2 linked regions of the Drosophila melanogaster genome follow. The gene in region 2 interacts genetically with the main gene of each other region. Each region holds a gene or a part of one and is shown on either strand. Other genes may lie near its edges.

Evidence for each region.
Region 1: of TBPH (region 2) and Ufd1, changing one enhances a phenotype caused by changing the other (phenotypic enhancement), as found in Drosophila melanogaster (one study listed by BioGRID).

The regions. Positions count from the first base shown.
Region 1 is NT_037436.4:11,121,377-11,125,097, reverse strand, and holds Ufd1 (ubiquitin fusion-degradation 1-like), read left to right. Parts: upstream 1-1,881; 5' UTR 1,882-2,049; coding exon 2,050-2,176; intron 2,177-2,233; coding exon 2,234-3,057; 3' UTR 3,058-3,116; downstream 3,117-3,721. Other genes in the region: mRpL2 (mitochondrial ribosomal protein L2), read right to left, coding at 3,117-3,535, 3,692-3,721.
Region 2 is NT_033778.4:23,858,363-23,864,278, forward strand, and holds TBPH (TAR DNA-binding protein-43 homolog), read right to left. Parts: upstream 4,232-5,916; 5' UTR 3,085-4,231; coding exon 2,844-3,084; intron 2,782-2,843; coding exon 2,471-2,781; intron 2,414-2,470; coding exon 2,209-2,413; intron 2,154-2,208; coding exon 1,525-2,153; intron 1,466-1,524; coding exon 1,328-1,465; intron 1,256-1,327; coding exon 1,184-1,255; 3' UTR 705-1,183; downstream 1-704. Other genes in the region: bgcn (benign gonial cell neoplasm), read right to left, coding at 1-337; Cpes (ceramide phosphoethanolamine synthase), read right to left, coding at 4,808-5,916.

The sequences.
Region 1 (3,721 bases), on a different chromosome or scaffold from region 2:
GGGGTTGCTGCCACCCACCGCCCACTTTGAACCCAAACCAACTCATTCATGACCCAGAGCAATCCAAAACGAAATCCACGCCGTGATATCACGTTGTGCTGAAAACAAAAAATGTATAATTTCTTTGCTTGACGTAAGCGCAAAGATCTGATGTTCGGAAATTACGAAAAACGAAATGTTTTTTTTTCTTCGAAATTCTGCAGCATGCGTATACACAGATTTTTGGGAATTTTGCTGCTTGTGTCGTTGGGCTATTTTAAAGTTTAAATGCTTATCGGAAAAGCTGCTCCATTTCGTTGGCTGTGCGCTTGTTAAATTTAGTTCCCAGACGCAAAAACTGTACGTACACAACAAGATGCCGGAGTTTTTCTTCTACCCTTAGTACTTTGCTCATCACAGTGCGACTTGGCTATAAACGATTGTATTCTAATTTGAATTTTCAAAAGAGCAGGCGATTTCATTTCACAATATTTCTTTAGCTTTGCAAAGCGTAAGCAAGTGTCATGATAACGAAAAGTGGATTTTCCCAGAAATATTTATAAATAATTTTGATAAGTTTACACAGAAAGTAAACTAAGTTTTTAGCGGAAGTGCAATATAAACAACATTTTGATTCTCGAAAAGAGGTTATCTTTAAAATCAAAAACAGAAATCGTTGTGAGTCCACTTATAAGTAAAAACTTTTGGAAACTGGAATATGTTGGGCCATAGAGCGCTTATTAAATGAATTTACAAAAATTTGCAAGGATGCAACTGACGCCTTAAGTTAGGCTTCATTATTTGAAGCCAGCTTGTGAGTCACTGGAATTTCATATTCTCTCGATTTTAATACGTTTTACATGACAAAGACAAAAGATGGGTAAATTTCACAATAGAGGGGGGTGGGGCTCTTTGTTGTGGGGAAGTTAGGGCGAGAGCGAAAGAAAGGCGAAGAAAGTGGGGAGCATGATGGCGAGGGGAGTGTCTGGAAGCTGCCAGAAGAGACAAGAGAGCGGGAGAGTGCGCATCCTCTCGCTCTTTTCACCTTCTGTTCGGTGTTTCTGTTGTTGTTCTTGTTTTTGGTGTGGCTGCAGCTGCGAAGCAACAATAACAACCACAACAGAGACTCGAAAACAGCTGCACACGAAAACGGTGGCTGTCAAACTGTTTTGCAAAATTTAAAATGTAACTGTACTTGGCAAAAACAATACATTTTGCTGTATTTCTGTATGTCGTAAAAGATCTTTCGACCTGGAAGCTGGAGAACACTTTTTCCAGCCACTTGGCCACCACCCCGCCTTTGAACAAACCAACCAATCGATTGGCCAGCTTATTGATTTTTCTATTCGAACATTTTGCATTTGTTGCTCGTTTCGGTCTTTTGCTTAGTGTGTTTGGTTCGAAAAAAGTATTGGCAATCATGTGGGCATCGACATACACACTTTTTTTTTATCACACCCACGCGAAAAACACGCGGCGCCAGCCAGACTAAAAGGATACAGGCAGCATATCCTGCACACACACACACACACGCGCGCACAAAAAAGCTCGCCAGGATCGAGTGGTGCAGTTGACCAGCAAACCGCAGCTGCTGACAGCCAATTTTGAGTAGCGGAAACAGTTGGAGCTGCTGCCCCGAAATGGGTACTCACTTGATCAGCAGCACTTTTTCGAATCAATATACCCGTCTATTCAATTTTTTTTTAAGCGGGACGAAGTCGCGCGCAACCACCGGCTTGCTGGGTTTGTTAGAGATGTGCCGATAACTCGCCACTGCGATAGCTCGAGTTGCTACTTTTTGTTGTACGCCACGCGCTTGGGATTTTAGCGAAATATGCGTGCCACAACTTAGCTTGTGCCGCAACCCCACACAGTGCTGCCACCTGTGGGCGAAAAAGTTACGTCTACATGGTGTTCTGGTCACACTGCCCCCGCCGTGACAAACAAAATAGAAAAAAAAATAAAACAAAAGATAAAATTTTAGCCTCCCCCCTTTGAGAAATAAAGGGTCATTTGAGGCAGTTTAAATCGAAAAGAATCCATAGGCACGGAGAGCCCAGCACACATAGAATGTTCCACTTCAGCGGCTTCAACATGATGTTCCCGGAGGGACGCAATTTTCATGCCAACTACAAGTGCTTCTCCGTATCCATGTTGCCAGGAAACGAGCGAACCGACGTGGAAAAGGGCGGAAAGAGTGAGTTACGAGTGTAGGCTGGACAGAAATTATGTGAACAACACATTCCATCCACAGTTATTATGCCTCCCTCGGCGCTGGACACGCTCACCCGCCTGAATGTCGAGTATCCAATGCTGTTCAAGCTGACCAACGTCAAGAAATCGCGATCCTCGCATGCCGGCGTACTCGAGTTTGTGGCCGACGAGGGCAAATGCTATCTACCCCACTGGATGATGGAAAACCTGCTGTTGGGTGAGGGCGACATACTCAACATCGAGAGTGTCTCGCTGCCGGTGGCCACCTTCTCAAAGTTTCAACCGCACAGCACCGACTTCCTGGACATCACCAATCCCAAGGCGGTGCTGGAGAATGCATTGCGCAACTTTGCCTGCCTCACCAGGGGCGATGTCATAGCCATTAAGTACAACAAGAAGGTCTACGAACTGTGTGTCCTGGAGACAAAGCCCGGCAATGCAGTCAGCATCATTGAGTGCGACATGAATGTGGAATTTGAGGCGCCAGTCGGCTACAAGGATCACTCCGAAACGCAGGCATCGGGCTCTGGGCAGCAGGGTGCTGCTGGAACTGTTGGCGGCGAAATCGCTGGAGCCACCAACGCCATACTCGAAGAGGTCGTGGAGACCTTCAAGGGTTCCGGCGTACGTCTCGATGGTAAGAAGAAGAAGGAAAGCCAGTTGGAAACGCCGGTCGTTAAGAAGGTGCTAGCCCGCGGCGTTCCAGACTATGATTTCCAGTTTGGACTCATCCGTTTCGATCGCAACATTCGGCCTATCAGTGATAGAAGCCAAGAAGATGATGCCGTAGCTGGCAATGCGGACGCTTCCGATGCGGAGAGCTTCCACGGCACCGGTTTCTCGATGAAGAAAACGCGCAAATAGCTCTGTATCTCTAGTTCTAGTTATATATTGTGTGACACATAGAAATTAAAGGAAAAACCTCACAGGGGCAGCGTCAACTTGATGGCCTCCTCCTTGGGCGGAGCCGGTGGCGATATGGTGGTCATGGGCGGCAATCGGCGTATCTTGCGTCCGTGTTTGCCTTCCTTGCGCTTCCACAGACCGGAACGTGGTCGATTGCCCATCTCCCGCATCCGCTGGGCACTGCCCACATGCTCCTTGTTGTGTTCCGGGTTGGACAGGCGACCAACCGTCGCCATGCAGGTGCGCTGGAAGGCGAACTCCCGCTTCGAGGGCAGCTGCACCACCACCTTTTCGTCGAACTTGCGCAGAATGGTGCCGAAGGTGCCGGCGGCATGGATCAGGTGGCACATCTGGCCGGGGTTCTTCTCCAGACAGTGAATGCGTGTGCCCACGGGCAAGGCGCCCAATGGATAGGCATCGCCTTCGTTGGGACGCACTATGGGATCATACAAAAAAAAAAAATTATATTGGCATAACTGGTTGTTTCAGAGCCAGTAAAATTTCTAGATTCCATGCTCAGTTTAAGACTATACTCAGAGGATTACTTAGAAAACGTTTAATACTCCCGATGAGTAACAGTAAGTAAATTTACCCGGAATCCTAGGAATAAAGCGCGAGGTCT
Region 2 (5,916 bases):
TCATGGAGACGAGGTCCGCGTAAAGCTCCAAATCCTCCTTGCCCATCAAGGACTTCCTGCTCAGCAGCGTAAACATGTTCAGCGTAGCGCCCGAGGACAAAACCAGCGTCTTGGGCTCCTCCAGGTAGTGGCGACATGCCTGCTTGTACACCTTCACGCAGCTATTCCCGTTGACATGGACCACCTGCGATCGCAGCCCCAAGGAGCGGGCGTTGTTGGCGAATGCTTCGTGCTCGCTGGTGCGGAATGTGCACGGGAACTGCTGGCAGCAGCGCCGTCCCGCCAAGAAGTAGAGCAGCTGTTGCGGAATGTACTTGTCCTGGATGATGTGGTTCATTTCTGCTAGCTTCAAACAGATTGACACTAAATTAAGTGAAGTGCGCCGCAATGCGCGCGGCAATTGCAAGTTCCGTTATTGCCACCGTCGTGAAAATAGAAAAATGGCGGAATGGAACACAGGGCTGTATTTTCGCTGGCGCAAAGCTTGCTCATTAAGGGTATTCCTTGCATATACTCAAACAAATGTGTAGTGGAAATTTGTAAAAAAAAAAGATCCAGGTGTCATTACAAACTGAATTATAAAACATACTTTGTTATTTTCAAAGAATAAGAGATAAGTTTCCAAGACGGGAGAGTTTCCTTTACAGGAATATATTAAAATATTCAATTCACAATCCCATAGATTCCATTCAAATGAAATGATTCACTTTGTACTAATATGCTTTTGCATTCTTTATTTTTTGAAATGAATGTACATGTTAAATGAATTCTCCTCTAAAATGAGGCTGCGCCAAATTCGTTTAGATATCTTAAAGAAAACTTTGTTATATTGGAAATTCTCCGCAGATCCAGCATTATAAGTGCACAATCTTTATAACTAAACTTTCTTAGCGTAAGCCAAAATATATTTAATAAACAACAAAATACAAATCAAATTCTACTTAAGTGATACAATGATACAATTTTTACTGAGCTTTGGCGCAGAATTTATTTTGAAGTGTGTTTTATCAATTGTGTTATTAGCCATCCAGTGTCATCTTGTTTACAATTATCAAAATATCTATTACATATTAAATACAATTCTTAACTGGTTTGTATGTGGAATACATATATGTAAATTTAAGTAAGCTACAGAGGTGTTGGTTAACCACATTAACCACATCATTGGGTGACAGGCACCGCCTTAAAGAAAGTTTGACTTCTCCGCGGCGTTTTGAGATCCGCTGCTCTGGTTCGACCAACCGGTGTTCCCATTCTGGAATAGAGTAGAATAGATTCTGGCTGGGATCCAGGTTTCTTAGGGGATGGTTTCAGTTTTGACTCTAACCTGTGGCTCCGAGTTGTCGGTCTTTATTCCGTTGGCGGCCGGATTGTTGTTCGGGTTATTCGGCCCCTTCCGTCCACCAAAGTTGTTGGCATTGTTGTGGCCCCCGTTCTGAGCCATCCAAGATAGAAAATTGCCGCCCTGCGGAGCAAGTGAGAGAGTTTTTTGTTTGAAACAATGATTGAGGTGTGAAGGCTTGCCTGTTGGTCCTGGTTTTGGTTCTGCAGCTGGTTGCCGACCAGGCTCCACTGGTTCAAGGCGGCAGCGACCAGTGCGGGATTGATGGGCAATGAGTTGAGATTGAGCATTGACTGGTTGCTCATGTTTTGGCCCTGGTTGGAGGAGCTCGATCCCTGCGAGTTGATGCCCAGGGCCTGCAGGTTGGGCATGTCCAGGTGGCCACGGTTCATCCAGCCGTTGCTGCCGCCCACGTTGCCGTTATGCGGCTGGTTCATTCCGTGAAAATTCGACTGGCGACTGTTGTACTGGCTGCCGCCGTCCTGGCGGTTCGTGTTCCCGCCACTGGAGTGATTGCCGCCATTGTTGTGGTAGCCCCCGCCCGAGTTGCCGCCGTAATTGTTGCCACCCATGCCGTAGCCGGCGGTGCCAATGTTGTGATTATTGGGCACAATTGCGTTCTCACCGCCGTGAGCATTGTGTTGGTTATTACCTCGGTGGTGTCCGTTGCGGCCCGGATTCATGTGGTTACCCTGTGGGTGGTATGAGTGCATGCCAAAGCTGTTGGCAGAGTTGTAGTTGTAGCTCTGGACCTGTTGGTTTCTGTTCTGCTCGGCCTTTGGAGCAGCATTCGACACATGGACCGAAACGCCTGTGGAAAGTGTCTCATTAATTCCCTGATTCTTCTCCACGCGGCAGTGACTCACCCTTGATAATGTGATCCTCTCCGCACAGGGACTGTGCCACGTCGGGATCAAGGAAGGTTACAAAGCTAAAGGCCCTGAAGGGCCGGGGAATGAACACATCAGTGACTTCGCCAAACTTGGAGAAATACTCGCGCAAGTCGTCCGAGTTAATGTCCTCGGTGCAGCGGCCCACGAACACCTTGCAAGGCACCTGGTGGCCCATGCCCTATGAGAATAGAAGGATTAGTAGGCGTGAAATTGCAGGGCTAACAAGAGGACTTACCTTCGAGTTGGGCACCTTAACCTCGCACCAGCGACCGTCGATCAGATGGCGATTGGTGAGCACGCGCATCTGGGCATCGTAAGAGCCGAAGCGCACGAAACCGAAGCCCTTGGACTGGCCCGACTTGGTGTCCTTCTTGATCTGGGCCATCAGCACCTCGCCGTAGGTCTCGAAGTACTCACGCAAGCTCTCCTCTGTGGTCTTCCACGGCAAGCCGAGCACGATGAGATCAGTGCAGCGCAGACGGGTCTCGATGCGTTTGGTCTTGGCAGTTGAGTTCTCCAAGTTATCGTCGCTCTTGCGCTTGTTCTCTGCAGGGGGGGATTACAGAATTATTTAAGGTTCAACAGGGAGTCATACAACTCGAATTTACCCTTGGGAAAGACGCAAAAGTAAGCGTACTCGCCCCAGCCGGACTCCACGCTGGGCGGAAACAGTCTGCCCTCGTTGGAGCGAACTCCGCGCACAGCCTTCGTGTCCAGGTTGCGGTACTTCAGACCGCAGGATCCAGGGAACTGAGCTTGCAGTGTGGACAGAAGCAGAGTGCCATCCTCCTCAGCCGGCAGCTCGATGGGCTCGTCGCCCTCCTCCTCCGACACTTGAACGAAATCCATTTCCTAGAAGGCTGCTAGAAACGAGGAGGGGATTAAAGAACTCTATCGCCGCAGGGGCTCACACTTCGCTCTAGAAATGATCCACCATGTCATTCAGTCAACGGAAGCATCCCACATATTCTGCATCGCTGCATTCATGAATGCACTCACTCAGTTCATCCGTTCTATTCAGATGCATCCCAAGGTACAATATTCAACACAAAAAGGTTGCCCCGAACCACTCTATACACACATTGCTCGTGGGACCAAGCCAAAACAAAAAGGATCCTACACTAGGTCAATCTACTAAAAACGACAAATAAACAATGTTTCTATCTCTTGTAATTTCGATGATATAATTTTAGTAAGTATTACAAACATATTCATATATTATTAGTGTTCATGTTTAGGCGTTTCTTTACGTTATTATTAGTTAAAAATTCTCTGAATCAGACGCTACTTATGTCCCACCATCGGCTAAATGCCTATTCTACGTACATTTAGTTAATAAACAAAAGAAGAATACCCAATCCCAAGTTTACGATGTATGGCATACATATGTATATGTTTTGAACTACTCAAGAAAACAGATATTTCACCCACTTAATACGAGTAAACTGACGTTTGTGAGTGTGGAATCGCGGCAGGAATTGGAAAATCAATGAATGAAAGCCACATAAATTGAAAATATCCAATCCTGTCGTCTGTGTGTGAGTGCAAGTGTGTGGCACACACACACACGCACACAAACGCAATCGTCGAGGGGAGGACATAATGTGTAGACGGAGGCAGTTTGGCGGTCCTAAAAGATGGTTGGTTACACAACAATTCTTACACTATTGACAGGGATTAGTTGGTTGCTGTAATTTCTGACTGCGTATGGCAAGTAGATATAGATTTCTGATCCCAGATCTCAGATCGCACGCTCTCTCACACGAATTCGATTCACACCCAGGCAAAATCAGGTATTCACTGTACGTTCCACGCTCGGTTCTTGACACAACACACGCTTCGATGCACAACCACTTTCAATCGGTGCGAAATAGGAATCAGGTAATATTTACAATTGACAGCTTAACAAATTTTCAAACGACGAGTGAAGCATTTCTTCTCGCTTTCCGTTTTGATTTTCTTTTCCTTTGTATGTATCGCCTGACGTATGCGCAGTGTGGCCGAACAGGGCTAGTGAGAAATACCAGCCGGCGGGTAGATATACTAAAAGTGTATTATTTTTAGTTAAAACAGTGCATTGTCACATAAATTTTAATAGCCTCTTTATTAAACTATATGAGCGTTGATTGCCACTATGAATATCTAAGCAATATATTACATTACAATATGGCAATTATATTGGCATTTGGTACTGTCGAATAAAATACCAAACCTTGCAGTGCTGCCCATCAGCTATACCAAAAAAAAACTTGGCAGCATTGCGCATCGTGTTCATTTGAAATTTCGAAACACAAAACATTATAAATAAATTCAAACGAAATTAGCTCGCCATGGAAATGCGTACGATAAAAACAGCTAGACTTTATTAATCAATAACATTTATTATTTACAGCTGAAGGAGTTTCGATTGCTCTTGCAGACCGCGCTTGAATGACAAAATGCATTAGTTGGTTTCGAAATATTAATGATTGGCTAACAATTATGATACATTATTATTTATACACAATTAAAAAAGGCATCGCTGATTTGCACTACACAAATATTATTGTATTTTCTCGTAATATTAGTAAAATCACAGTGAAATATTACTGCACGCCGTAGAGTTGAAAATGTAGTTCTGGGCCTCCAGAATGTGCATTTCAGTTAAACATATAGCAACTAACAGGATAATGTAACCGCTGTACCGGATCGCGCGCAGGAAGTCCCACAGCTTGTCGCAGAAGATGCTCAGCAGGACGCAGTGCAGCAGGGCGTGCACGTTGACGATGCGCCACATCCAGGCGACGCAGAAGAACCAGGTCGACTTGAACACGTAATCCTGGCAATGCGACTGGTTGCCGCTCACGTCCTCGCGCTCCAGCATGTTCTGGTAGACGGCAATGTAGCGATTCCACGCCGTCGAGCTCAGCAGCAGCTGGCCCGTGAAGCTGATCACGTTCTTGGCCACCTTGCGCGTGGTGGCCTTCATCTTCGGTATCATCATGGTGGGCTCCGGCAGCTTGGAGTCGCTCATGGGTATGATCGAGTAGCCCCTCCGCGGTGGATTGTTCTTCAGGTAAAAGAATATGCCCAGCAGCAGCGCAATGCAGCCGAGTCCGTCGCACAGGCCGTCCACATAGTAGCCGGAGGTGCCGATCTCCGAGCGCTCGCCGCGTATGTGCTTGCGCACGCGCGCCACATGCCCGTCCAGGTCGTCCAGGAAGGTGCGGATCTGGAAGAGCAGCACGCCCAGCCGCCGATAGCCCAGGCTGTCCGAGGCCACCAGTTTGCCCGCCAGACAGGCCACGCCCACATGGAAAAACGATATCATGTTGGGCGTGATGAAGGTGGAGCGCGAGAAGCCGATCACGTTGTCGAACATGGTGGCCAGCGGGGCGAACAGGTAGTGGTTGGTGTGGTCCAACAGAATGGCCTTCACGGTCACATGGCAAAGCGGATTTATATCACAGGATATCCAGGTGTGGTCCTCGTAGGACGGCTGCCGGTCGCCGGCGGTGGGTAGTTTCGTACTGGTGCTGCTGCTACTGCTGCTGCTGCTGCTGCTGCTACCACCGATGCTGCCGGACCCGGACTCCGAGGTGGACGGACCCACGACGGAGGCGGGCAGCGAGACATTCGTGTGATAGTTCCTCTCGATGGCATAGTTGTGGATGCGCAGGTAGAGCTCCACGTCCATGAAAA